Linked DNA regions of Coturnix japonica. Each later gene encodes a partner of the first gene's protein in a complex. Links are inferred from orthologs where the notes say so. Each region holds a gene or a part of one and is shown in the gene's direction. Other genes may lie near its edges.

Region 1 (4,010 bases):
GCTGCTCACCAACACCACGCACCGCCCTGTCCAACCCCGCAGCACACGCTGCAAACAGGAAAGAAACAAAATATTGCCCAAATGTAGGCAAAGGCCCCTCGGCTGCCCTGACCTCCGCCGGGCCGGGCCCTGCCTGACTCAGCTCCTTACTCAGCTCTCGTTTCCTCCCTCCGGCTGCTGCTGCCGCTGCAGCTCACACCCTAACGAAGCACGGCCCTTGATGGGCTCTGCGATGCACCCAGCAGTCCAAGGGCTGGCCGGGAGGTTTGCACCGCTACTTGCTGACATGAGCGCTGAACTTGGCCCTGGGTAGCGCTGCAGGCCGGGAGGGGTGGGTGCAAACAATGCACCTGGTGCCCCATCCCCTCCCTTGCAGCACCAGGCCGATGGTGTGATTGCAGCTCGGTGCATGCACGCGCCGTGATACGTTCCTTGCTGCTGTAGCAGCCTAGTGCACGCACAGCCCTCGCTGTTATTGCAGCTCTGCGCACACACTCATTGTATCACTCCATCCCACAGCATGATGCACTCGCACTGGAGCTATCGCTGCTGGGTGCACACACTCATTGTATCGCTGCAGCTCAGTGCATGCACGCAGGCTGCTGTTATTGCTGCTGGGTGCACGCACATCAGTGTGGCTGCAGCTCAGTGCATGCACAGCCGGTGCGCATCGCTCCCACTGCTCCCATCGCTCCCATAGCTCCTATTGCTCCCATTGCTCCTACTGCTCCCATTGCTCCCATAGCACCCATAGATCCCATATAGCACCCATAGATCCCATACAGCTCCCATAGATCCCATATAGCACCCATAGATCCCATAGCTCCCATAGCTCCCGTAGCTCCCATCGCTATGGCCGCCTGTCCCCGGGAGGTGACTTCAAGGGGACCGCAGGACCACCGGGATGGGGGCAGGGCTGCATCCCCTCCCCAACAAAGCACTATGGAATCAAAGCATTATGGAATCAAAGCACTATGGAATCAAAAGGGGGTGGGGGTGGAAGGGAGCGTCACACCCCGCCGCTCAGCCTCACCTGGAGCTGAGCCCCACGCTCCCCTCTCCCCTTTCATCCCCCCAATTTCCTATTTATTTATTTCTTAATTATTTTGTGCAGCGATGGGGGCGGGCGGGGCGAGGCGGGAGAGGTGCGGCCACAGCCAATCAGAAGGGCGCGCTCCGAAAGTTTCCTTTTATGGCGAGGCGGCGGCGGCGGCGGCCCTATAAAAGGCGGAGCGGGCGGCGGGCGGGAGTCGCTTTGCGCTGCCTTCGCCCCGCGCCCCGCTCCGCATCCAGCCGCCTCGTGCCGCCCGACCCGGCTCCGACTGACCGCGGTACAAACACAGGTGAGCGGCCGGACCGCAACGCTGCGACAGCAGAGCTCCATTGTGCCATACGGGGGAGCACCGAGGGGCTGCGGGGGGGCGCTGTGTATTGGGGAGGGGGCGTGAGTCGGGGTGTGTGTGTGTGTTAACGGAGCCGGTGCTGCCCGGTGCCGCGGGGCGGTTCGGCGCTTTGTGCTGCGATGAGCGGGGCGGGGGGCGAGGGAACAAAGGCGGAGTGAGGGGTGGGGGGGGGTCGGGTTGTGACCCCCATGTGCAGCTTTAACCCCCCCCATGTGCAGCTGTACCCCCATGTGCAGCCCCCCCCCCCCAATCCTTGTTACAGATCGCGGGCTGTGCTGGCTGCGGGGCTGTGCTGGGTGCGGGGCCGTTGGGGGCTCGGGGCGGTGCCGGTGGTTGGGGGCGGCTGGTGGGCGGGGCTGGCTGCCCCTATAGCGCCGGCGGCTGTCGAGGCGCGGCTCGGAGCTGCCATTGCCTTTTATGGTCATGGTTGGAGGGCGCAGGGACTTCCTTTGTCCCAAATCTGTGCCGAGCCCAAATCCGGGAGGTGCCGCCTGACCCCCTCTAGCGGGCGAGGGGCGAAGCGGAGCCGGCAGGAAGGAAATGGGTGGGAGGAGGAGGGCCGTGCTGCCGCGCTGCCGCCCCGCGATCCATCCCCAGCGTTGGGGGGATCTATAGGGGGCGAGGCGGGGCGGGGTCCGGCTTCTAGTGCGTGACCGGCAGCGCTTCTATCTCACTGCCTCCTCTCTTCCTTCGCAGCCAGCCATGGATGATGATATTGCTGCGCTCGTTGTTGACAATGGCTCCGGTATGTGCAAGGCCGGTTTTGCCGGGGACGATGCCCCCCGTGCCGTGTTCCCATCCATCGTGGGTCGCCCCAGACATCAGGTACGGCAATGGCTGGAGTGATGCATCCAGACAATGGAGAGGAGTGTTCGGTGGGAGTGGTTGTGCTGAGGGCGTGGAGCCTCCAGAAGCCCTTTTACTTTCATGTGTGACATAAGAGGTTTCTACTCTGCAACAGTAACTGGTTGAATACACAGCATCCTGCCGAGCAACCCGTGTTGAGCCAATGGCTCCAGTCCTTAACCTGGCAGAGTAGGGGCAGTAGGGGGTTAGTGATTAAAGGTGTGGCTTCTGCGGGGGGGGGAAATAAAACCTTTATTCATCCATTGGATTTTGTCCTAGAGTTAAACTTAAAGCTTTTTCTTTGTTGTGCAGGGTGTGATGGTTGGTATGGGTCAGAAAGACAGCTATGTAGGTGATGAAGCGCAGAGCAAGAGAGGTATCCTGACCTTGAAATACCCCATTGAACATGGCATAATTACCAACTGGGATGATATGGAGAAGATCTGGCACCACACTTTCTACAATGAGCTCCGTGTTGCCCCTGAGGAGCACCCTGTGCTGCTCACAGAGGCTCCCCTGAACCCCAAAGCCAACAGAGAGAAGATGACACAGGTGTGTAAAACCCTTTGAGCCTGGAGCTACAGCAGGCGCTGCTGCAGGCCAGCTCTCCTCTTCCATGTTGTCCTCTATCCGCCTTCACCACTTCTCCCTTTTTGCCATCTTTACAGGGTTTTCCTTTCCTGACCTGAGTCTCCTCTTTGCTGGACCTTGACAGGTTTTGTTTGCTCTAAGCTGGCTTTCTCTGAGACTGAACTAGCAACTTGTCTAACTGCTGTTTCTGACTAGACACTAATCCATTTACCAGCCTTGAATGACTATACTGTAGTTCCTTGGCCTTTGTTTCGTTCCTTGCTGTGTCATGTGGATGGGCCTGTGGTAGCAGTGTCCTTGCTCAGGCTCTAACCTGGCAGGTGTGGGTGGAGACCAAGCGAGATAAGCACTGATATCTCCTTCTAGAGGAGCAAAGAAGCCTCTTTATCTAGGGACAAATGTAAAACCACATGCATGGACTGATGTAGGCATGCAGTGAGAACCTTGGTTTATTCTGCTTGACTCAGTGCTTTCTTATCTCTCTAGATTATGTTTGAGACCTTCAATGTCCCAGCCATGTATGTAGCAATTCAGGCTGTGCTGTCCCTGTATGCCTCTGGTCGCACCACTGGTATTGTGATGGACTCTGGTGATGGTGTTACCCACACTGTGCCCATCTATGAAGGCTATGCCCTCCCCCATGCCATCCTGCGTCTGGATCTGGCTGGCCGTGACCTGACGGACTACCTCATGAAGATCCTGACAGAGAGAGGCTACAGCTTCACCACCACAGCCGAGAGAGAAATTGTGCGTGACATCAAGGAGAAGCTGTGCTACGTCGCACTGGATTTCGAGCAGGAGATGGCCACAGCTGCCTCTAGCTCTTCCCTGGAGAAGAGCTATGAACTCCCTGATGGTCAACTCATCACCATTGGCAATGAGAGGTTCAGGTGCCCTGAGGCCCTCTTCCAGCCATCTTTCTTGGGTAAGTCTGACTCCTTTTAGGAGATTCCGTGCCCCTTCTGCCTAGAGTGACTTAGAGACTAGTCAGCTGCCATTGTACTGCTGGCCCTTAGCAGGTCTGTCCCATTCCACTTCAGTCTTTGTCTTCCTCAGCCTGAGGATGATAGAGGTACCTAGGTCAGAACCAGGAGGCTGAGCCTGTAAGCCATGGCTTTGCTTGTGTTGCTTCCCACTATGGGGTCTTTGTTTCTCTTCCCATAGCAGTAG
Region 2 (4,123 bases), on another chromosome or scaffold:
AAAAGACGTGGGTCTCTTGGTGGCCAACGGGGTAACCATGAGCCAGGAGTGTGACAAGAAGGCTAATGATACCCTGGGGTGCACTGCACAGAGCCTGGCCAGCAGGGTGATGGAGGGAGGTGCACCTCCCCTCTGCTCTGCCCTGGGGAGGCCACAACTGGAGCACTGGGCTCAGTGCTGGGCTCCCCAGTTCCAGGCAGACAGGGAACTGCTGCTGGAGAGAGACCATTTCTCAGCTCAGCCCTTCCTTATTTCTATATCCCTCCCAGCCACTTCCTAACTCTGTCCAAAGGCTCCTGCCGGGCTTTAAGCCTCACTTGAAGTTGCTGCATCTGAACAATACGGAGCAGATAAGTTCCACCGCTTCTCCTCACCATGAATATTTCATCAGGCAGCCAGGCGCCAAGGCTGTGTTGGAGGTGGCATTACATTAACTGCACGGACACACGGATGCTGAGACAACAGCTAATGGCTGTGCTCACGGCATCGTGTTTTCTATCGAGGTCAAGAAACACTGAATTTGGTGGAAAAGATGCCAACAACTCCCCACTTTTCTCCTCAGTCAACAATGCCATGCACTGTACAGGACAGCTTCCTAAATGGCCTGTGATTATCATTAATTGCTTAATTAATACTTGCGGTGTGGCTGCTCTCTTGGATTTTATTCATGGATTAATGCAGGCTGGATGCAGGTCCCTCTGCTCTATGAGCAACCACACGGATGAGTGCCCTGGGGACAAGGAAAGTAATGCTAATACTTGCAAAAAGCGGCCTTTAATTCAGCGCTGTGCCTTCTACTGAGGGAGGGAGGAATCCTCCTCCAAGCATCCCCAGCCCTAAGCAAAGCAGCCCCAAACACGAGCACAGAGCACCTGTAAGAACAGGGGACCCCCACCCCAACTCAGTCACAGCATCGAGGCTTAATGAGCACCATCCTCCAGCACCTTGCACCCTCAAAACACTTTCCTATGGTCCATGCATGTCCCCAGGACGCAGCCCCTTCCCACACATCCCCCCCTGCAAATACCCCATCCCATCCATGGTCTCTGAAACCCCCAAACCCAACACCATCCCATAGCCCTCTCCAAGTCCTCTACCCCCACCCACAGCCCTCCCCACGCTCTACACCCCCCACCCCCACCCCAGAACCTTGCCATACTCCCCCAGGCCCCTATTCCCCCACAGTAGTGAACCTTAAACCCACCCACGACCCCCTCCCCACCCACTACTTCCCACCCCCCGCAGTTCCTCCCGCCGGCAGGGGGCGCTCTCTGCAGCCGTTGCCGCTCTAGGCCGCTGTCCGCGCTCTCTCTATGTCAGAGCTCCGGTTCCGGCCCGCTCCTCTTTGTGCTGGACAAGATGGCGGCGCGGGCGGGCTTCCAGTCAGTGACTCCCAGCGGTGGAGGCGGCGGGGCCGCTACCGGGACCGGAGCGCTGGGTCCGGGCACACCAGGCGGACCGGTGCGCATGGGCCCAGCCCCGGGACAGGGCTTGTACCGCTCACCTCTACCAGGGGCCGCCTACCCGGTGAGGCAGGGGAGGGGCCGCTGCGGGGCGGGGCGGGAGGGAGTGGGGGCGGCGGGGCCGAGGACGGGGCCGGCTTCCCCCCGGGTGGGCATTGGAACGGCTTTTTTCTTCCCCTTGCAGCGCCCTGGGATGTTACCGGGCAGCCGTTTGGCACCGCAAGGCCCCTCTATGGGGCCGCCCGGGTACGGTGGGAGCCCGGCAGTGAGGCCCGGTATGGCGCAGGCCGGCCTGGATCAGGCCCGTAAGAGACCAGCGCCGCAGCAACTGCAGCAGGTTCAGCCTCAGGCGGTGCCCAACCGCAACCACAAGTAAGAACCGGGGGTGCTGGGGGGCTCAGGGAATAGACGGTGCGGGGGGGGGGGGGGGGGATCAGGGCATCCTTGGCCATCCTTAGAGCTGTGAGTGGGGGGAGGAGCTCGGGTCATTCATAGGATAACTATGGGGTAGAAAGGCTCTGGGGACATCGTTGGGTGTCCTCTTGGCAACAGGGGGGTTCTCAGGGCAATGGGTGTCCAAAGGATGCTGCCAGGGCAGTGGGAGGCTTAGGATATCCTTGGGTATCCTTGAAATAGGAAGGGTTCCTGGAGCAGATGAGGGTCCCAGATCTTCCCTGTGCTCCTCCAGGGCAGGGGAGGGAACAGTGAAGGTCTCAAAATGTCCCTTGGGCATCCTCAGAGCAGCAGGGGTCCTGAGGACATCCCTGGGATGGCAGATGAGTCTTGGGCATATCCTTGGGCATTCCTATGGCAACAGGGTTCCTCAGGACACCCCGAGGGCAAAGAGGAGTCTCAGGGCATCCTTGGGTCCAAGGGGTCTTCGAGGTATCTCTGTGCATCACCAGAGCATTGAGGGTGCTCAGGGCATCCCCAGGTGGACGTGGACACATTGCTTCTCTCCTCATGAAGCCCCATGGGACGAGATCTGTGTATCAGGGTGAGGGCAGGCATCACTGAGCTGCAGGCTCTCTCTGAAGGGGTCAGCACTGACTTGGTGTCATCTGCTGGCTGCTCAGAGCAGCACAAAGCTTTTCTGTGTGCAGAGCCAGGCCTGGGCCTCTCATTGCTGCTTTTTTTTTGTTGGGTGGCTGAAAGAAACTTTGATGTTCTCGTGCAGCTTCGTCTCTGGTAGAGGGGAATTTCCAGCAGATAAAAAAGTAATGTGCAACTGCTGGACAAGAGCAAGTTAATGTTCAGTTTCTGATAGTACAATGTGATGCCTTGGTAACGTTGGTAATGCATCTCTGAGTCTCCTAGAAAAGTCTGTCTAAAGCACATTGAGCCATAAGGCTTCCTTTCCAATGATGCAGCCTTGCTTTCATTGCTTTCCTTGGGGATGTATTAAGGCGATCAGCTGCTGCAGGGCTGAGAGCATTGCTGATGCCCTGGTCCTAAAACACAAACCTCATCTCGCTCCTTTTGTGAACGTCCAGTGTTAATTAGCAGAATGGTTGCCATTTTAATGCTCTCCTTACTTTACAGTGCTAAAAAGAAGAAGATGGCAGACAAAATTCTACCTCAGAGGGTGAGTGGCATGTGCAGTTGACAGCCTCTGCTGATATGGAGATGTGGGGGAACTGACAGTGATTTGCATTCTTGATTGGCTCGTGTTCTGCTTGTAGATCCGTGAACTTGTGCCTGAGTCTCAAGCTTATATGGACCTGCTGGCCTTTGAAAGGAAATTGGACCAGACGATCATGAGGAAACGCTTGGATATCCAGGAGGCTTTGAAACGACCCATTAAGGTAGGAGAGGGACATTCAGAGACTTACTGTTATCAGAAGAGTAGGAGGGCTTTGAAGGTTGTGTCATAACCCTATAAGCATAGAGAGAACTGTAATGCCCAGGACTTAAGTGGGGGGGTAGAACCAAGACTGCCTCTCTCTGTGCTGTTTGTCCTGAGAGTGGATGTATGAGGAAAAGAAGAATATTTAGCTTAGTTTTAACAAAACATAAGCATGATTCTCATCCCTTTGCTTCTGAATGAATACTGAGCTGATGCTTTTTCTTGTAGCAAAAGCGAAAGCTACGTATTTTTATCTCCAATACCTTCAATCCAGCCAAGTCGGATGCAGAGGATGGTGAAGGAACAGTGGCCTCCTGGGAGCTTCGAGTAGAAGGAAGGCTGCTAGAAGATGTGAGTGTAAGGCACCCAACTGCAGAGCTGATTTGATGGGTCTGGAATTGGAAATTGAACCAGTTTCTTAGTGTCTGGGAGTGTAGCTAAGGGCTTGATATCCTCCTTCATCTCTGTTTTCCAAGGAGTCTGATGGTGACGAGACCGAGAGCCCAACTCGGAGACCGATGGGTATCCCCATGGCAGAACATGAGTTATACAAAGTTCTTATAGCTATAAGAATTAATGGTGAGAGCCGATCAGTAGCACTTGTGTACCCTGGCTCTTAGAACCAGGGCACTCGCATTTTATGTAATTGCTGAGTAAGTTAATTCCTCCAAGCTCATCTTTATCTCCAGTCTTTCACCATTTTTGACTTGGAACTTGATTTTCGAGCATGTGTTGATGAATGTAAGTGTTCACAACTTAAAGGAACACTGCTGTGCACCTTGCCTGTGCTTGAGTCCTGGAACTTGCTCTCCTG
Region 3 (4,270 bases), on another chromosome or scaffold:
TGGGTGTGTCCGAGGGAGCGGAAGGGGGAGGGCGCTGAGAGCAGCCCCCACACGCCCAAACGCTGTCATTGCTGCGCTATCCTACACGGCGCTGCCTGGGCCGGGGTCACCTTGAACATCAGCAGAGGCTGCTCCTCAGTCCCCGCGCACACGATGCCGTGTGTTCGCCATGGGCTGCTCCTCGCTGCTGCCCGATTCAGTGTCTTTTTGGTGCTTGTTTTTAACCACTGGGTGAGAGCAGCGATTTTATTCAATTCAGGTTCCCTTCTGATTCCCTTCTACTTGCAGCCTTGCCAAAAAATTCAGAGTCTATAGACATCAATCTCAAGGAGAGGAACAGAACAAACCCCTCTGGCAACACCTCTATCAATGTATCAGGCGGACGGGAGGCAGCCGCCCCCTCCAGCCGCACACACCGCGGTGAGCAGAGCCCCACGGCCACGCCGCTGTGCCGTCATGGAGGCGGCCCCGCCGCTGTGCACCGCAGAGCCGTTATTGCCGCTGTGCACCGCAGAGCCGTTATTACTGCTCTCCATCACGGAGGGGCCGCCGAGAAGCGCTGCAGAGGCCCCTTCCCCCCCGATGGGCCGCGGGGTCTCGTGGTGCCGCGCGGGGCTGTGCACGAGGAGCCGCGAGCTGCGGCAGCACAACGGCGAGCTGCGGGGATCGCGGCGTCTGCAGCCGTCAGTCACACGGGGCGTAGCGGGGCCGGAGAGCCCCGGACAGATCGCCCCGGGCGGGGCCGCCGCCATACTGCCATGCTGCCATACTGCCATACATCCATACTGCCATACTGCCATACTGCCATACATCCATACTGCCATACATCCATACTGCCATACTGCCATACTGCCATACTGCCGTGCTGCCATACATCCATACTGCCATACTGCCATACTGCCGTGCTGCCGTGCTGCTATGCCGCTATGCCGCCCCCGCTGCTCGCACGCCCCCCATCCCTTCTCCCCCGCTCCGTCCCTGCCCGCTCCCGTCTCTCCGCCTCCCGCCGCCTCTTCTCGCCGCAGGGGCCGTTCTCATCCTGGCGCTGGAATCGCCGCCAGCGAATGTTTGCCCGCTGCCGGCGGTCCCCGGGGACGGGGCCTGGAGCGCGGCGCGGGCGGAGCGCTGCGAACGGGGGGAGCCATTGTTTCTCCCCGCTCTCCCGCCGCATATTGTAATGGGAAAACTCCCCGGGAGCCGAGGCCGCCCCCTCCCCCTTGCCCCAGAATTTACCATCCCCTGCGCCGAGGAGGAGCGGCTGCGGCTCCGCCGCGAAAGGCCGGGACGTGTTTTCAATCTGCCTGGCTCTTATCTCGGGTGTTTGGACAGAGAGGTTTAAAAAGCGGGATTTTCTGTCCCCGCAGAGTAAACACGCAGAGCCCGGCAGCGCAAACTATTTCTGGCTTATCAGTGGAGGAATGCAGCAGCTGAGGCCGAGCGCGAGTGGGCCGTCAGGAAGGCCCTGAAGGGGCCCCCTCCCCACTCCGCGCTATTAGAAGTGTGAGAGCCCAGCAGGACTCAGAGGGGAGAGTTGGAGAAAAAGGCAGAAAAGGGAAAGAAAGAGGAAGAGAGAGAGTGAGAGAGGCTGAGCAGACCCCGATGGCTACAGACGAAGTTACAGGAGGGGCTCGCAAAGCTACGAAAAGCAAACTTTTTGAGTTTCTGGTCCATGGGGTGGTGAGTCGGGAAAGTTAGCGAGCTGCTGGCTCCGGATCGAGGGATGAGTGCAGAGCGGAGGCTGCGCCGGGCTGGAGCGGCCCCTGCTGCGCGCCCGTGGGGCGCCGCTCCCCGCCTCGCCCGGGAGCCGCGGGGCCGCCGGTGCACACGATGTGACCGATTCGTTGCTATACGGCTTTGTCTGGGGGGTTGCGTGCTGTGATTGCTGCTTTGATTCTCCGTGCTTGGTGAATAGCGTGCTCCCGAGCCTCGTCACGGTGCGGGATCTGCACCGCGTCTGACCCAAACGGGCTCGTAGGACACTTTGTTCTGTAAGCAAACTTGTGTTTTGAAAAGCAATTCTGATGCTGGTCCGACGCGGCCGTGTGGCGCTGCCTCTGGTTCTCGTCTCCAGCCTTGGCTCTGATGTATCCGCTGGCTACTTAACAGGTGACTTTCAGGGGCTTGGAGAGATTAGCGCTGCGGATCTCTGCCAGGCGATGGGCGCTCACCCACGAGGGAACGTCAGGTTGCCGCGCTTAATTAAAGGAATCACTCAGGTCTTTAAAAAATCGCCAGCTTTTGTTTAAGGAATCAGGTTTTTGATCTCCATTTAAGGGGATACGCTAACCTTGTTTTGCTGCCAGGAGAAACGATGTTCTTTAAATGACTGATGGTTGAAAGCGACCACCATTTATAGCATTCGGATGTCTCGTGCTGATACACTTTTAAGGAAATAAGACCCAGGAAACGCAGATATAGCTCAGATGGAGACAGTCCCTGCGTGTTTTCTCTCCTGAGCGTTCTGGCACCTTCTGTGACACCTTTTTGAAGACATCCGCTGCGTGTTCCTGTACAAAGGAATCTCGGGAGCTCGCTGCAGGCCTCTGGGTTGTCCCCATAATTCAGGCTTGCTCCAAATGTATTGGATCTTTCTTGTGTACTGCAGAGCCTGGCTATGATGAGCTTGCAGGGTGAAGGACTTTTAGATGGCATTCTGCTCCCTGAGAGCAGTGAGCAGGCAGAGCGGTGCCGATGTACATCAGCAGTCTGTGGCTGGATGGGCAGATATGACAGAAGCAGGTGTGCGGATCTGTGGCAGTAGCTGTGCTGTGAACACGTGTGTTGGTTAAGATGGTCTGGCTCAGGGTGGCTGTAGCTGGGTGGCCGCAGGCATCCCGGGAGGGCTGTGCACGAGGGTAGCTGTTTCTTTTTCCAAGGCTTCTGTTGGCACAACACTGCTCTTCCTTTGGTATTTCCAAGAGTTGCTAAGACAGTTGGATGACCCTGCTTCTTTCCCATGTAGATGTGAAAGGAGCCTGCTGGCCTCTTAAGCATGAGAAATGTTAATTCATACCAGAATTAATGCAGCAGAACTTGTTTCCATTAGTTATTTGGGTGCTAGAAAAGTCTGACTTGTCTGCACTGCCTGTTTCTCCATGAGAGGCGTCTCACTTGGTATCCACATTGCCTGAGTACCTGCATCTGGTTGTTACCTTTCCACTGCCTGTCAGGGGAAACAGAGCTTCTTGTCCATCACTCTTTGCCTGAGCTCCTCTTGTAGGACCCTCTGCGCCCCTCCATGATTATTTCCTTTGGTTCTGCTTTTGCTTCCGTGTTTGTTCTTCACTTCTAGTTTCTTCCTGACCTCAGGCTCATTTTGGTCAAAACAGGTTGAGGCAGCCAGTCTTCCATTGCTTACAAAAGACCCAAAGTTGCAACTTCATTTACCTGTTTACATATCCTATCGAATAAAAGAACGAGCCGTTACCCCGAGTGCAGATATTGCAGCCTCATCACCGCACGCGGCCTGTCTGCATCTGAATCAATTCCTTGAAGATTCAAGTTGAAGAGTAAAGTTTTCCAGCATGCCTTGGAATCAGGTTATGCCTCCACTCCAGGGAAAATCTCCTCTTCAGATTACTGGGTTTTTTTGTTCTCTCTTTGGCAAAATGATCTCTCTTGATTACTGCAGGTATTGTTATCGTTATTGTTTCATTTTCAGAAATGGGAGTGTATAAGCAGGGATAGAATGCCATGAGAAAAAAATGTACTGTTTGAAGAATTAAATAGAAAGGAGAATTTTGCACTATTTACTGAGAGCTGTTAGATTTTGGGTTTATTTGATCTTTCTGAAAACATGTGTTTCTCTGCTAAGGTCACTTCGCCCTTTGCTCTTGTGTGTTTCATCTTGCCTTTGTTCTTTCCCATGCTGCCAGCTCAGAAGAGATCTTCTTCCCTTTGTGTGGTTCAGATAGGATCCCTCTGTGCTGTCAGATCTCAGTGGTGAGAAGCCTCAGGTGTGATACTTCGCCCTGCTGGAGTAGTTTGTTACACCTCTGCTGAGCAGTTCTTTTCAAAAGACCGCCTTTCTTTCAGTTATTCCTTAGATTTCTCTAACTCCTGGTCTGTTGATCAGGGCCTCACACGCTGTATCTGTGGGAAGAGGGATTTTTTGCACAGGCTTCATCATCCTTCACTGTCACTTTCGCCCCTCTGCTCTATTTCCAGAACTGTTATGGATAAATTCAGCTTTAATGACCACCTTTATGCCTATATGTTTTTTCCTGATGTGTTTTCTACTGTCCAGCAGTACACTTCAGGCTGCCCTTGT
Region 4 (3,500 bases), on another chromosome or scaffold:
ATTTGCTTGTTTAAATTCTGATTGCTTTTGCATGCCATATTGCAGTTCATTTTCATTTATGTGTTTTCCTCGTTTGATCTCATTTCTCATTCGTGTTTTTGTCTCATTTGTTTCCATCAGCAAATGCCCAGCACACCAGGGTTTGTGGGATACAATCCATACAGCCATCTGGCCTACAACAACTACAGGCTGGGAGGGAACCCGGGCACCAACAGCCGGGTCACGGTAGGAGAATCAACTATTACATCATCCGGCAAACAGCAGGCAATGCCCAGAAATGGCTTTAGAGTTAGGATCTTCTGAATCCTGGCTGCTGCCTCGTTTTCTAGGAACAAGAGATTACTTCTGATTTTCTCTCTCCATCCCTACCCCTTCCCCTACACTTTGAAACCCTTCACAAGAAAATGGACTTCTGTTCAAGAGAGGGAAAGACGTGTGGGAATCGTGTGATGCAGAGCTCCAAGGAGACACTCTGTGGTCTTCAGTGAGCGCTGCATGTGTAGGGAAGGTCTGTGCTGCAGGTACCGATCCCTGGGGGGTAGAACTGCAAAGTTACTGACTTTGGCACAAAATAAGGAGGAATGCTTTGCAGACCAGGGATCGCTGATAGTTGCTTCACACTACGGAGCTGTGCAAGAAATGTGAGCCTTTATTTCCAATCTTAGTCTGATTTAACCGTGCAAAGTCCCTGGTTCAGAAACAGTTGTTTCAACAGAAGTATAATGATATGAAATACAATCAGATATTCTGTAGTCTAGAACATGGGATACAAAGCAGTTTGTCATGGAACACGTACAGTGCCTTCAGTGAAGAGTGCTCTTCGTGTGCCTCTTCTGTAAACCCCCTTTCAGGCTTCACAGATGACTTCATTGGGTTTGTTGAAGTGCTTACAGAAAAGGCCTTCCCCATCCAAGCTGCAACTCAGCTGACTGTACTGTCTGAACAGACATTTATTTTCTTAAGCAAGGTTAAGTTAGGTTTGCTCCGAGAACTCTCATTGTTTCTGTATGTCATAAGCATATACAGCTTTCTCTGCCATGCATATATCAAGATATGTATGGTGTCCTGGAACTCCTGTTAATTTAAAAGCATTGAACAGTTTCCGTTAATGTTTTTCAAACCCATCTGTGTGTGTATCTATGTATACATTTTGGTAATACATATACTCCATGTACATTATCTATACTTATACGCAGTTCTGTATGCATCGATTCATAGAACTCCATAAATTCAGCAGAAAAAAACAAATGAAGAGGACCAATTGGAAAGCTGAATACAACACGTTGGCCTTTATGGCCAATTTCAGATATTTGCTTAATCTTCTCAATCCTGAAAAGGCTCAAAACTGCTTTTTGTTGTGATGGAAATGGTCCCACGGTTGGAACTCCCACACTGAGTGTCTGCAGAGTGGAGGTGGTGGGCTGTGAGGTGGTGGTGAGGGGAACAAAGCTGCCAGGTGTCCTGTGAAGGACGAGCAGGGCGTGCAGCAGCTCTCCATCAGCAGCACTCTTCTGTGTCTTCCTGCTTAGCACAAGGTGTTCAGCATTGCACAGACTGGAAGGAAGATCAGAGCACAAAAACATGCGAAGGCTAACATGGATAATGACAGCTTGGAGGCAAATAACGCACACTGATGGATCGGTCGCAGAGGGGGATTTGCTCTTCATAGCGAGCAGTTTAACAGGACTAGCTGTGTACCTGTGCACAGGCTTGGGGGGGGGGGGGGCACTTATGCTTCCTTCTTGGAGTGGGGTGGGGGATGTTTGTTTCTTTCAACTGTGCAAGACTAAATGCTTTCCCAAAGCTGGCGCGTGTGGAAGCTGCCCGGTGAGCGCATTAACAAATGGACTTCTTCGTTTTTTCCATAGGCTTCCTCTGGTATTACCATCCCAAAGCCCCCAAAGCCCCCAGACAAGCCCCTGATGCCCTACATGAGGTACAGCCGGAAGGTGGGTATGGGTATCGAACAAGTAGTAATAGATGTTAGCGTTGTGCGTGCTAACAATTCATTGCTGTTATCTTAGTTTCAGCTTTTAAACTTTTACTCCTAACAGCCTGCACATTCTTTAAAGGGAATTGTAAAGAACAGATGCATTGCCCTGCAGAATAATGGCAGCGCTGGTCTGTTCTTACAGTTGCCAGTTTCTGGGGGGAACAGTTGTCTCTAAATTGATAATTTCCTTCTGCTGTCTGCTGACAAGGATCCACCCTGCCACATTCAGAAGTTCCTATGACTTATGAGAGAACTTTTAATGTAAAGGAAATATTCCTTGCGGTATACTGGGCTTGGTACAGTGCTGTAGCTGGACTGAAGAGTAGCAATGAGTGGACTTTGCGTGTTCTCCTTCACCAACCTAGCCTGTGGCAATGGTTACTTCGCTATTCTCTGAACTGATTGACAAAAAATAGGAGAGAGACCCTTGTGGAGTCTTAAATGTGATTGGGCGTGGGGAGGGCAGGTGAGCCCGTCTGGAGCGGGTGAGCCAGAAGGAAATTCTTCCACTTCTGGTAAAGTATCTTTACCAGCAGATCTGTCCAAAAAACCAGCAACAAAAAAAAAGGCAAGTGGCGCAGCAAGAACTAACCCTGGCAGCTCTCTCCTTGTTCTTTTTTCTCCCTGTAAAGGTAGAAACCTTTTTGGTGGAGTCAGAACTTGTTGGAACTCAAATTGATCAGCAAGACTGAAAAATATTGTGAAATGTTGCATTCTGATGTGAAAAGCTCAGTGCTCTTTACCGCAATCTACTGCTGGATGTGTGTTCTCTATAGAGCTTTTTTTTTTCCCCGAGATGCAGCGATTTGAGAAGAGAAGTGAGAGGGTTAAAGGCAAAATATTCTGATGAAACCAAAGCCATTTCAGTAGATGACCTCCTACTGACTGCCCCAGAAAATAACCGAGATAGATTAGCCAGACTCATCCCTAACTTAACCCTGTTTTTTCGTGGTGGTTCCAGAAAGAACACTGAGATGACAATATAAAATGTTTAATTTGGAAGTATTTAGATATCATTAGTAAAGCTCCAGCTGTTTCTGTTAAGGTCTGGGACCAAGTGAAGGCGTCCAATCCTGATTTGAAGTTATGGGAAATTGGCAAGATTATTGGAGGAATGTGGCGAGATCTCACTGATGAAGAGAAGCAAGAGTATTTGAATGAATATGAAGCTGAAAAGGTAAATGGAAGAAATCTGGGATGTTTATTACAGCTGATTCTTCTAGGAACTGGTCTGAGAAGAAACATTCATCTTTCCCGTGCAGTGGTGTATGAGGCGTTCACCAGACCCCCTGTATGTAACTTAATGGAAGTTGTGTCCTGACACATCTTTTAGACTTTTTTTTTTGTTACTGTACATCAGCTGTGACTGGTCAGTTTTTAGACCCAATTCAAAATGAAGTTGTTTATAATTGAGTGCCGAATTTAACTGTTTAATGAATGGATTTAATTGTACAACATCAGTGTTGAAAAGATTGCCTCAACACCAAAAGCCTCTTTCAAAACTGGT
Region 5 (4,178 bases), on another chromosome or scaffold:
GGGGGCTGGGACCGAGGCCTGGGGTGGATGCTGCCAATGGCCGGGCTCTGCTCACAGCTGGATGAAACGATTCCATGTCCCCCCCCCTTCCCCCCAAGTCCCCCTTATAACCGCTGCATCCACCCCAGCCCACCCCCCATTTGCCCCCTGCAGCTCCATATCCCCACTTGGTGTCTTCAGAGGGGGCAGAGGAGGCACAGCTGCACCCCGGGTACTGCTGGGCTGCTGCCCCATGGACTTCCAGCCCCATGGACTTCCAGCCCCATGGGCTTCCAGCCCCACGGATGCTCACGCTGTGCCTGCAGCCCCCCCGGCTGCCTCCCTTGTGCTCTCTGCCCTATGCTGCCTGTGTCTGTCCCAGGGGGCCAGGCCTGGCCTCCCTCTCCCCATTTAACCCTAAAGGCAGAGCTGGGCATTTATGGGCGAGGGGGAGCCAATGAGGGGGGGGGGTGGGGGGAGCAGGGAGGGGGTCTGGCACCACCCTGGGGGGCAATAGGAGCCCCCTCTGCCCCACTGCTGTTCCTCTGCAGCCACTCGTGCTCGTGGTTCTGTATTATTTTGTACTACTCAGCCTTCCCCCACCCCTCCATTCTTACCCCCCCCCTCCATTCTCCTCCCCCCCCCTTTGATTTTGGAGTGCCACCGATGGCTTCATACCCCCCCTTACCCCCCCCCATTCACCCTATGGGACTTTAATTTATTCTCATTCGTTACGTTGGTTTTTTTTACGGTCCTCCCCCCCCCTTCCCCCTATTTTCCGCTGTCTGTACGATGCGGTTCCGGGTCTCCCCCCCCCTTGTTGGTGGGGGGGGGGGGGGGGGGGGCGTTCAGCGATCAATAAAAACGGCTGTTCTGGTTTCTGTAGCGAAGCTGTGGCTGCTCTAGGAGGGGTCGGGGGGGGGGTCACACTAAAAGGGGCCGAGCCTTTCTGAACTGCTCCGTGTTATACAGAGTCCCACATTAAAAAGGGACCCCCCCCCCATTAAAAGATAAAGCTCCGTCACGGACAGGATTCGAACCTGCGCAGGGAAACCCTATTGGATTTCGAGTCCAACGCCTTCACCTCTCGGCCACCGTGACTTCAGCGCCTCCCTCATCCGCGCTCCGCCTAGACCCGGCACACCGCCCCCATCCATCGGGTCCTCCGTGCCGCCAGGGGGCGCTGTGTTCACTCATCTCCATTCGGCCTGCAGGGGGCGCTGTGCACACTCACCCCTGTTCTGCCCGCAGGGGGCGCCGTCCTGCAGTACCCTTCATTACCGGCAGGGGGCGCCGTCCCGCAGTTCCCTTCATTACCGGCAGGGGGCGCCGTCCCGCAGTACCCTTCATTACCGGCAGGGGGCGCCGTCCTGCAGTACCCCTCGTTACCGGCAGGGGGCGCTGCGTCACGTCACGGCGGGGAGCGGCCCGGCCCGCTGGAAGATGGCGGTGCGGAAGAAGGACGGCGGCCCCAACGTCAAATATTACGAGGCCTCGGACACCGTCAGTCAATTCGACAACGTCCGCCTTTGGTTGGGCAAGAACTACAAGAAGGTACGGATCGTTCGGGATCCCTCATAGGCCTCACGGCTCCGCTTTACACGGAGCCAGGCCCGAGGCTGAGCCCCCTCCCGCAGTACATCCAGGCCGAGCCCCCCACCAACAAATCGCTGTCGAGTCTCGTGGTTCAACTGCTGCAGTTCCAGGAGGAAGTGTTCGGGAAGCACGTCAGCAACGCGCCGCTCACCAAACTGCCGGTGCGTGACTGGGCCGGGCGGACAAAGGGACCCGCAAACCCCGCAACCCCCCCCAGGGACACCCCAGGACCTGCACGACCCGGCCCCGTAATGCCCTGGGTTGGGGGGGACACATGGGACCCCCCCCCCTCCCTTTGGAGGGGTCTTTGTAAGACCCCCCCGGCCCCAAATGGCCCAGCTGGGGTGGAGGGGACACATGGGGACCCTCCCCCTTCCCAACCCCCCCACCCCCTTTGGAGGGGTCTTTGCAAGACCCGAGGCACCCCCGGACCCGCAAGGCCCGGCCCCGTAATGCCCTGGGTTGGGGGGGACACATGGGACCCTCCCCTTTCCCAACCCCCCCACCCCCTTTGGAGGGGTCTTCCCCACCCCCATCCCTTTGGGGAGGTCTTTGCGAGACCCCCCCGGTTCCAAATGGCCCAGCTGGGGGGGGGGGGGGACACATGGGGACCCCCCCCCTTCCCAACCCCCCCACCCCCTTTGGAGGGGTCTTTGCGAGACCCCCCCGGCCCCAAATGTGGGATGACACGTGGGGACCCTCCTCTTCCCCCCCCCCCTCCTTTAGGAGGGTCTTTGTGAGACCCCCCCGGACCCGCAGGGCCCGGCCCCGTAATGCCCTGGGTTGGGGGGGACACGTGGGACCCCCCCCCCCCTTTGGAGGGGTCTTTGTGAGACCCCCCCGGCCCTGCAATGCCTTGGTGTTGGGGGGGACACATAGGGACCCTCCTCTTCCCCACCCCCGTTCCTTTGGGGTTGTCTTTGCGAGACCCCCCTGGCCCCAAATGGCCCAGCTGGGTGGGGAGGACATAGGGACCCTCCCCCTTCCCACCCCCATCCCTTTGAGGGGGTCTCTGTGAGACCCCCCAGGCCCCAAATGTGGGATGACACATAGGGACCCTCCTCTTCCCCCCCCCCCCTCCTATAGGGGGGTCTTTGTGAGACCCCCCCGGTCCCATAATACCTTGGTGTTGGGGGAGATACATGGGACCCTCCCCTTCCCCCCCCCCCCCCCTATAGGGGGGTCTTTGTGAGACCCCCCCGGTCCCATAATACCTTGGTGTTGGGGGAGATACATGGGACCCTCCCCTTCCCCACCCCCCACCCCCTTTGGAGGGGTCTTCCCCACCCCCATCCCTTTGGGGAGGTCTTTACGAGACCCCCCCGGCCCCGCAATGCCTTGGTGTTGGGGGGGACACATGGGGACACCCCCCACCCCCCACCCCGTTTGGAGGGGTCTTTGCAAGACCCGAGACACCCCCGGACCCGCAATGCCCTGGGTTGGGGGGGACACATGGGAACCCACCCCCCCACCCCCCTTTGGGGAGGTCTTTGCGAGACCCCCCCGGCCCCAAATGGCCCAGCTGGGGGGGGGGCACATGGGGACCCTCCCCTTTCCCAACCCCCCAACCCCCTTTGGAGGGGTCTTTGAAAGACCTGAGACACCCCCGGACCCGCACGGCCCGGCCCCGTAATGCCCTGGGTTGGGGGGGACACATGGGACCCTCCCCCTTCCCAACCCCCCACCCCCTTTGGAAGGGTCTTTGCGAGACCCCCCCGGCCCTTGGTGTGGGGGAACACATGGGGACCCACCCCCCCACCCCCCTTTGGGGAGGTCTTTGCGAGACCCCTCCAGCCCCAAATGGCCCAGCTGGGGGGGACACACATAGGGACCCTCTTCTTCCCCCCCCCCCCTCCTTTAGGGGGGTCTTTGTGAGACCCCCCCGGTCCTGCAATGCCTTGGTGGGGGGGGGACACATGGGACCCTCCCCCTTCCCACCCCCCACCCCCTTTGGAGGGGTCTTTGCGAGAGCCCCCCAGGCCCCACACGGCCCAGCTGGGAGGGATGGACACATGGGGACCCTCCTCTTCCCCACTCCCATCCCTTTGGGGGGCTCTTTGGGGCTGGGGTTGGGCGGGGGGGTTGTTGGGGTGGTCGCCCCCATGGCATGGAGCAGGGACAGCAATGGGGACAATAGGGAGAAGGGATGAGTCCCAGTGCTGCCCGCTGTGGGGCATTGCCTGCTATGTATGGGGTATTGCCTGCTGTGGGGCACTGCCCGCTGTGGGGTATTGCCCGCTGTGGGGCAGCCCCCCCCCCGAGTCCTCCCATCCCCTTTTCCAGATCAAATGCTTCCTGGATTTCAAGGCGGGGGGAGCCCTGTGCCACATCTTGGCGGCTGCTTATAAGTTCAAGAGCGACCAAGGATGGTGAGCGGCATCATAGGGAGGATGGGATGGAATTAAGGGTGGTGGTGGGGTTGGGAGGGGGGAGGCAGAGATTTGTCTGCTCTATGGGGCACAATGGGGGCGGTTACAGCCCTGGGTTGGGCAGTGTGTTGGCTGCCCATCTGTGGGTCACAGCCCCATACACAGATCCCTGTTGGGGTGTCCCCCCACCCCCCTTTAATGGGTAAAATGGGGCTGAGTGATGAGGAGACCTGA
Region 6 (3,500 bases), on another chromosome or scaffold:
GCTCTTGCTTAACCTGTTTGTGAATGATCTGTCTTATAGGAGAAGTACCTTTCCTCGCCATAATAGGTATGTCTGCAAAGTGCACTTACCCAGTGCAGCTGGACATACCCTGTCTGTCACTGCCATTGAAGTGGTTGGTGGCTAAAACCTGCCCGAGGTGTCCCGTAATCTGAGCGCAGGAGGGATTAGCACTGCTATCTCATCTCCTTTACACACAGTTCTATTGCTTGATACATGGACGTGCTTCTCGTCAAGTATGGGTTGTGAAAGTGTGGGGCATGAATAGCATTTAATGAATCCAAAACGCGGATTGTAGGCAACCAAATATAACAAGCAGCTTTGATCAAAGCAGAGTGCCTTACACGTCCTTGTTTCAGAGGTACTGCCAGCTGTTGGCTGTCTAGGAAGGTAGATTCATTTGCATTAATTTGCCATCTATTTCCATTTGTTTCCTTGACACTTCAGTGTACCTGTCTGGAGCACACATGGCTTGTATAGACCATGAAACATCAGTGTGAGAGCCCTGGAGAAGCAGCTGGGCCTCGGCTCAGCTCCCTGTGTGTCCATCCAGCAGTGCATTGGGCTGTGCCTGCAGTCAGCTCACAGCTCCCACACGCACAGACAGTAGGTTTGTCAGGATGAACTCTGCCTTTCGTTCCCCAGCTCTTTAGCAGGAGGGGATGCACCTGTAATACCTATGGAGGGTAGAAAGAGCCTTCTGCTGATGCTGCCTGATGTGCTGAGAGCCACCAGTGAAGGAAGAGATGGCAGCCTCAGCTGAAGGTTCTGTGCTATGTTCAGCGGTGTCTCTGTGATGCCCTGCCTGTGCAGTAATGGGTTTTCTGACTTCAGTCCTGCTTTGGTTTACCTTTGTTGCATATTTATGAACTTGAAACGTTTATTGGATGTGTTATGGGAAAGAAGTGTGTGTCTGAAAGAAACTGTCCTGAACCGTCTGGGCACAGCACTGCCTGCTGGTGCTTGAAGCTGCACTCTGAGCTCAGAGCAGCTCGCCAGTCGCTGCAGGGTAAGGAGCTCATGGCTGTGGGAGGCATTTCTATGTGCTGTAATCCCTATCCCGCTGGCTGCCAGCTCAGCATTCCTGTTCACAGCACTCGCAGCCCCTGCTGGTGGTTGTTTCCAAAGCTGCACAGGCACGGAGGTGCAGCAGGCAGTGCCTGTCTGCCCCAGGGCAATGTTGTGCTGGGCTGAGCCTGCCTTGGACTCCTGCAGCTCCATACCCGTGGTATGTGCAGTGCTGTTGGTGCCATCAGTGCTCAGCCTGACCCTTTCTTCGTTCAGGTCCTTCACTCGAGGACACATGCAGGACGCCTGCTGAGGCTCTCATGCTTCTGCCTTCCCCGTTTCTCACAGATGCTTCCATGTGCACTGTCACTCCCAAAGCTGGATTCCTTTATCACTGCAGCATGGAGCTTTAAAGCACCAGAGTCCCATAAAGACAATCATCTTGTTGGACTCGATGGTCTCTATGAGCCCCTTCCAATTTGGGCTGTTCTGTAATGCTGATGTGGGTTGTTAGCTGCCCTGTGCTGTGCGCGGGGCCCTTCTCATGGCTCACAGAGGGATTGCCCATGTTGCTGGGCTGGATTTTGGGGTGGGTGCTGGGAGCACACAGTGGATGGTTGTGGGTTTCCCCCTCCAGCTGGTGAGACCTGCCTTGAATATCTGATGGTTTCCATTGAATTATCCCTTGTGCCTGCAGTGGAACACACAACCCTTCTGCAGGTTCCAGCCTTCGTTTTTCTTCAACCTATTGCAAATCATTTTCACTTTGGTGATTCCTTCATTGTGTTGGGTTTATTTGCTTGGGGGGGCTGCCAAGCGAAGCAAAACTACTTGATTGTGCCCTGAGTGTTCCCATGTAGCTTCCACAGTGTTGTTTTTAATGTGTAACATGAGAGATTCTTTGCTTCTGAGTAGAGGAAAGTTGAATCCTTTAAGACTTTTTGAATGGTTTCCCTCTACAGGCGGAGGTTTGACCTGCAGAACCCATCCCGGATGGACCGAAATGTGGAGATGTTCATGAACATTGAGAAAACACTAGTGCAGGTAATGGACTCAGATTCCTTGTGCATGGGATGGTTTGGGTTGGAAGGGACCCCAAGGATCACGGAGCTCCAACCCCCCACCACAGGCAGGGCCACCAACCTGCACATTGATACCAGCCCAGGCTGCCCAGGGCCCCATCCAACCTGGCCTTCAACACCTCCAGGGATGGACGGGGCATCCACAGCCTCTGGGCAGCTGTTTCAGCACCTCCTTGGGACTTCCAGCTTTGTAGTGAGTTTGAGTATTTTCAGGGCTGGGTTGCTTTTTGATCCTCAGTTGTTCTGTCAGAGCTCCATTGCTGCTACCAGAAGACAGCAGGTAGCAGTTGTGTGGGGTTCCATCTGAAGTTATTTGCTCTCTTTATTACTGCTGGACTGCTGATTGTGATGGGAACTGTTTGGTTTCTGTCACAAATGCTCTGCTAATTACTTCTTTTGTCTCCACAGAACAACTGTCTGAGCAGACCAACCATCTACCTCATTCCAGATATAGAGCTGAAGCTGGCTAATAAACTGAAGGACATTGTCAAACGTCACCAGGTAACTTACACAGCATCTCCTAGCACAGCGTGTTTGCGTACCAGTGATGTTTGTGCTGTGTCTGACAGTGCAAGGAAGCAGCAAGAAGTCAGAGCACAGGTCAGCTGTCTGTGGGATGCCATTAGTGGTTATCATCACGTGGCTGCTGAATCATTAATCTGCTCTGAAAGTAAATGAGCTTCTGAGGCTTCAAGCAGCAAGCAGCGCGAGGTGTGTTTTCTCTGTGAGGCTGCTGCAGGCCTGAGCTGATTTAACACTGAATTCTGCCCACGTGAGGCAGGAGATCACAGTTTGTCCAAGTCTGAGCCCAAAAAAGGTAGTGCGTGGCATAACTGGTGTAGACGTGTGGGAGCAAGCATAAAGAAGCTCCAGTCTTAAAAATGCTGCCTTTTCAGGTCTGTTCTTAACTTTTTTTTTCTTATTTATGCCAAACAGAGCACAAGCAACATCAGGTTTGTGTTAGTGCATTTCCACAAGGGTCAGCATCTTTGTAACTGAGCGTGCTCAGTGATGGCCTGAACAAGGTTAATGGCTTCATCTTCTAAACATGAATGGGCTCTCACTTCTCTTGAGGGAAGCTCTGTGAATGTGAGCTCTGTGGGCACAGGACTGAGCGGAGCTCTGGCTGAGCTGGGAAGGAATCGCTCTGCAGCCCTTTGTGAGGAGAGAACTCACTGCTGGTAGCCAAAGGGAAAGCTTTCCTATCCACATTTCCACTGTATTTGCTGCGTTATGGTTATGAATCATCTCAGCCTTAACTGCATAGCTGTTCTTGAGTTACTCATAGCTCTTGAGCTGACCCCAGGTGCTGGCTGTTGCTGAGATGAGGGTTAATGCTCTGCAGTCTGCTCCTGAAGTCCTTACTGTTCCTCGTGGTGATTTCCTTTATGA
Region 7 (3,500 bases), on another chromosome or scaffold:
ACTTAAGTTGTACATAGGAACCGTGAATGTCACTTGGAGGTGTTTTGGGGGTGACACAATTGCAATAAGAATTATTAAGGTAATTATTTAAATTCTGTTAAGTGATTAAAATAGCTTGAGTAAAAGGCTGGTGAGGCCTGAGAGGCTTCTGGGTAAGTCTATGAAACTGGCTTATCCAAAGCATGCCTGCTTCCTTGCAAGAGTGCAGAGCAACACGCCAACTTGCATGTGAAGTGAACAAGATTTTTTCAGATAAAAAAGAAGAATACAACAGTTATGTTTCAAATGATGCCTGTATCTTGTATATCAAAGCTATCCACAGTTTTATCTTGTTATTTCAGAAATTAAAGTAATTAAAATTCAAGTTGACCATGCATTTGTAAGCAATCTGGAGCACTTCTGGAAAAAAAAAACAAAAACAGATCTGAAAGTCTAATCCTTTTTCTTACTGATGGAGGGTGAGGAGTTAAAATTCTTTTGACCCTCTCCTGGTGGTATTCCTTTTTTCAAGATGATGTATATACTGTATGTATATACTAAGACCAGAGCGTAGTGATACTTGAAGATTTCTTCTTTCTGGCATTATTCATTTTTGTCTGAAATGTAATAAAATGGAATTCCAGAAATTAAGAAATACTGGGATATTCAGCTTTTCTGAAGATTCCTGTATTTGAATACGTAGCTGGATTTTCATTTGCTTAACCTGACTTGGAAGGGTTTTGAATGATTCTTTTCTTACCTCTTGCTGTTATTAACATATTATTAAAAAATAAATAGATTTGGAAATTCCTTGTGTAAATGTCTGCTCCAGATTGTGTTACAGGCTATTCACACTTTGATGTATTGAACATGAACACCTAATGTTCTTTGCTTTTGTAGATGGGCAGTTTCCTCTGTTATGACACGGCAGAACCAGATTCCAACAGAAGATGGTTCCAGAGTTACGTTGGCTCTAATACCTCTATGGGACATGTGTAATCATACTAATGGACTGGTAAGGTTTACTTCAGTGCTGTTGAAAGGCTCTAAGGCTTAAGTATTAATCCTTTCAAATGCCAGCAAACGGTTTTAATAACTTTTCATTCCACTTCTTAACACAGGTTATTTTATCCTCCTGAATGACCCTCAGAAAACTTATAGCTGAAAGATTTATCAATTTCTTAAATGTCTTATGTTGGTCTTTCAGTAGAGCTTCCTTAATTTAAACAAACATTTAGAAATGATTGCATACAGTTGTGTCTTGTGTGAATAACATACCTTTAAGAGTTTTGGCTACACGATACCTCCTTTTTCTTTTTTCCAGCCATTTTTCTGACATAGGGTTTTGTTTCTGACTAGTTTGACAAAGATTCACAATACTAGATAGATTTGTACTGAGAATATGAAAGTAGACAGTGATGGAGGTTACCTCTTGTAGCTACCATTAGGGAAAGTGGTTAGAAATTTGCAGCTAAGAAATACTGCCTGCTCTCTTAACTGTGCCCAGAGAACCTTGTTATGGAGACAGCAACGACAAGAACAAAGCCCAGCTCAACAAAAACAGTACATCTGTTACTACATCAAAGAAACAAAATGCAAAAATACTACTTTAGGGCATATTAAACATTTAAAAGGTGACACGTATATAGAAAGTCAGATCTGCTGACATTTTGTCTTACGTGAGCTGGTTTAGAGGATATGGTCTTGATTTCATTAACAGGCTAGTTAATGTTGAAGTGAGGAAATGGAAGACTGTAAGAGGACAATTTATCGGTGTTGTTTAGCCAGCATCGTGTATGCTTTAGAATTTATATTCTAAAATTTTACTTCCAGTAGATAGTATTATTTAAGTAGTAAATATGACCATTCTATTTCAAGTGATCTAGTCCTTTTGTAGGAAAGTTGGCCCCAGCGTTAGGACAACAGCATGTGTTACTGCTGCTGGTGTAAGAAAAGCTTAATTTACATGAACAAAGTGTAAAACAGGCTGTTTCTCACTTGATACTTAGTTAATTTATTTTTACCATGATTGTTCCAATTACAGCGCCAAAAGCCGGGCTACAAGGTTGCGTGTTTGGCTATTGTATTTTTTTTTTCTCTTGTGTTTTAATACTGATCCTTGCCTTTCACTATTTTGCAATCTCACAACAATTACTCTTGTATGAGAATCTGTGATAACAAGAAAATTGCTCTGAATTCACTAATGTGTATTTTTCTCATGTAAGTCTTAGCTGCATGCATCAGTACTTCTTGTATCCTTCTGCTGGGCTTCTCTTTATGATACTTCTGCAGGGACTAGCCTGTAGTCATTAGACAGCTTTTAATGAATGCCTTCAAAGTTGGGATTAAAGGGAAAGGGGAAGAGAATTAAGGTTCTGGGAGGGGAAAAAAAATAGCCCATATTAAAAGAGCTGTTAGGTACGTTGTTTTAGTCATTCAAACTTATATTTAAATTGATAAAGTCATTTTTTATCTTTATTATGTTCCTTCATGTTGGGTTTGATATGGAGCCAGTGTCTGGAGCCAAACCTGCTAGTGCAGTAGTATATCAGGGCTTTAAGCAATTTTTTATGCTTAAGTGTATCCTAAAAAAGAAAAGAGGGGAAGGGAGGAATCTTAAATAGTTTGAATTTCTATACAGACTTTACTCATTTGTTTCATATTTCCACACAAGCTACTTTTAAGTATCTGTAGGCTTAGGAAGGATAGGCAACTAGAACACTGACAATAAGAGAAGCTACTCAACCCTTTTCACTCTGTATTGTATATTAGAAACTGAGAAGAAAAAGAAATTAAAACAACTCCTGATCTCTCTGTGTTGTAGTTTATATTGCTGTAGAGTGGGATGAGGATGGATTCTGCTGTAGATATAGCACATGAAATGAACAGTTCATTGTATGCAAATAAGACGTGAGAGATGGTATTATATGTACCACTCTGTCTAGTCTATTCCAGACACACTGAAATGCTTCCTGAGTTAGTGACCTACTACATATTCCTGTTCTTGCTGTATTCTGCAGGGACCCATTGCCCAAGCTGGATAATAACGTGCTCTTTGGGTTTTAACTGAAGCCAGGTCCATCCTGCTATTTCGTGCTTCTGACAGTATTAATTAGATCAACCTTCCTCTAAGAACTATATCAAAATGGTTGTCTTCATGCATTTCTCATTGTTATTCTTTAGTGGGATTGTATTTTGACAGTCAGAGGTTGATTACCAGTTCTGCCAGAGCTTTAAATAAGCTACGCTCTGCCGATTGGGCTGGGTCCATCCATAATCACCGACCAAGCAGAGCACTATACTATACAACATACAACTATACAACAGAGTACTACTTTTGCTTTAAGCAAAACTTGAAATTCATACATTGGTCTGCTTCGGAAATAAAACTGGAGGGATGCAATTTGTCAGCCATGATGTGGGAAGGGAAGTAATCACCCTGTTAATTCTGCTGCATGACTGTTATTGAAAGAAAGAGGAAATAAGTCTAGCACTCCATTATGCTTTTCAGAGAAGCCTTT

Evidence for each region.
Region 2: ACTB (region 1) and SMARCD1 share a complex: the UniProt entries of both Homo sapiens proteins name them as parts of the BAF complex. The link is inferred for Coturnix japonica from reciprocal best matches to the Homo sapiens genes ACTB and SMARCD1.
Region 3: ACTB (region 1) and SMARCD3 share a complex: the UniProt entries of both Homo sapiens proteins name them as parts of the BAF complex. The link is inferred for Coturnix japonica from reciprocal best matches to the Homo sapiens genes ACTB and SMARCD3.
Region 4: ACTB (region 1) and SMARCE1 share a complex: the UniProt entries of both Homo sapiens proteins name them as parts of the BAF complex. The link is inferred for Coturnix japonica from reciprocal best matches to the Homo sapiens genes ACTB and SMARCE1.
Region 5: ACTB (region 1) and SMARCC2 share a complex: the UniProt entries of both Homo sapiens proteins name them as parts of the BAF complex. The link is inferred for Coturnix japonica from reciprocal best matches to the Homo sapiens genes ACTB and SMARCC2.
Region 6: ACTB (region 1) and SMARCC1 share a complex: the UniProt entries of both Homo sapiens proteins name them as parts of the BAF complex. The link is inferred for Coturnix japonica from reciprocal best matches to the Homo sapiens genes ACTB and SMARCC1.
Region 7: the proteins of ACTB (region 1) and SETD3 are in contact, whole or in part, in a crystal structure (PDB 6ICT), measured with the Homo sapiens proteins. The link is inferred for Coturnix japonica from reciprocal best matches to the Homo sapiens genes ACTB and SETD3. Residues at the interface, in NP_001092.1 of Homo sapiens: Leu67, Lys68, Tyr69, Pro70, Ile71, Glu72, His73, Gly74, Ile75, Val76, Thr77, Asn78, Trp79, Asp80, Asp81, Met82, Lys84; in NP_115609.2 of Homo sapiens: Cys36, Ser37, Ile148, Ala151, Met152, Asn154, Ile155, Asn212, Arg215, Gln216, Val248, Val251, Met252, Thr253, Arg254, Gln255, Asn256, Gln257, Ile258, Pro259, Leu268, Ile271, Trp274, Asp275, Cys277, Ile284, Thr285, Thr286, Gly287, Tyr288.

The regions. Positions count from the first base shown.
Region 1 is NC_029529.1:4,232,029-4,236,038, reverse strand, and holds the start of ACTB (actin, cytoplasmic 1), read left to right. Parts: upstream 1-1,210; 5' UTR 1,211-1,343; intron 1,344-2,099; 5' UTR 2,100-2,105; coding exon 2,106-2,228; intron 2,229-2,561; coding exon 2,562-2,801; intron 2,802-3,326; coding exon 3,327-3,765; intron 3,766-4,010. UniProt on the Homo sapiens protein: Actin is a highly conserved protein that polymerizes to produce filaments that form cross-linked networks in the cytoplasm of cells.
Region 2 is NC_029544.1:347,990-352,112, reverse strand, and holds the start of SMARCD1 (SWI/SNF-related matrix-associated actin-dependent regulator of chromatin subfamily D member 1), read left to right. Parts: upstream 1-1,323; 5' UTR 1,324-1,359; coding exon 1,360-1,527; intron 1,528-1,647; coding exon 1,648-1,835; intron 1,836-3,005; coding exon 3,006-3,048; intron 3,049-3,145; coding exon 3,146-3,268; intron 3,269-3,537; coding exon 3,538-3,666; intron 3,667-4,123. UniProt on the Homo sapiens protein: Involved in transcriptional activation and repression of select genes by chromatin remodeling (alteration of DNA-nucleosome topology).
Region 3 is NC_029517.1:105,896-110,165, reverse strand, and holds the start of SMARCD3 (SWI/SNF-related matrix-associated actin-dependent regulator of chromatin subfamily D member 3), read left to right. Parts: upstream 1-1,470; 5' UTR 1,471-1,599; coding exon 1,600-1,677; intron 1,678-4,270. UniProt on the Homo sapiens protein: Involved in transcriptional activation and repression of select genes by chromatin remodeling (alteration of DNA-nucleosome topology).
Region 4 is NC_029542.1:4,153,877-4,157,376, reverse strand, and holds part of SMARCE1 (SWI/SNF-related matrix-associated actin-dependent regulator of chromatin subfamily E member 1), read left to right. Parts: intron 1-120; coding exon 121-225; intron 226-1,868; coding exon 1,869-1,949; intron 1,950-3,038; coding exon 3,039-3,170; intron 3,171-3,500. UniProt on the Homo sapiens protein: Involved in transcriptional activation and repression of select genes by chromatin remodeling (alteration of DNA-nucleosome topology).
Region 5 is NC_029544.1:895,855-900,032, reverse strand, and holds the start of SMARCC2 (SWI/SNF complex subunit SMARCC2), read left to right. Parts: upstream 1-1,378; 5' UTR 1,379-1,422; coding exon 1,423-1,533; intron 1,534-1,616; coding exon 1,617-1,736; intron 1,737-3,852; exon of another isoform or gene 3,853-3,858; coding exon 3,859-3,944; intron 3,945-4,178. UniProt on the Homo sapiens protein: Involved in transcriptional activation and repression of select genes by chromatin remodeling (alteration of DNA-nucleosome topology).
Region 6 is NC_029517.1:706,332-709,831, forward strand, and holds part of SMARCC1 (SWI/SNF complex subunit SMARCC1), read left to right. Parts: intron 1-1,988; coding exon 1,989-2,070; intron 2,071-2,516; coding exon 2,517-2,609; intron 2,610-3,500. UniProt on the Homo sapiens protein: Involved in transcriptional activation and repression of select genes by chromatin remodeling (alteration of DNA-nucleosome topology).
Region 7 is NC_029520.1:43,618,117-43,621,616, reverse strand, and holds part of SETD3 (actin-histidine N-methyltransferase), read left to right. Parts: intron 1-879; coding exon 880-994; intron 995-3,500. UniProt on the Homo sapiens protein: Protein-histidine N-methyltransferase that specifically mediates 3-methylhistidine (tele-methylhistidine) methylation of actin at 'His-73'. Histidine methylation of actin is required for smooth muscle contraction of the laboring uterus during delivery.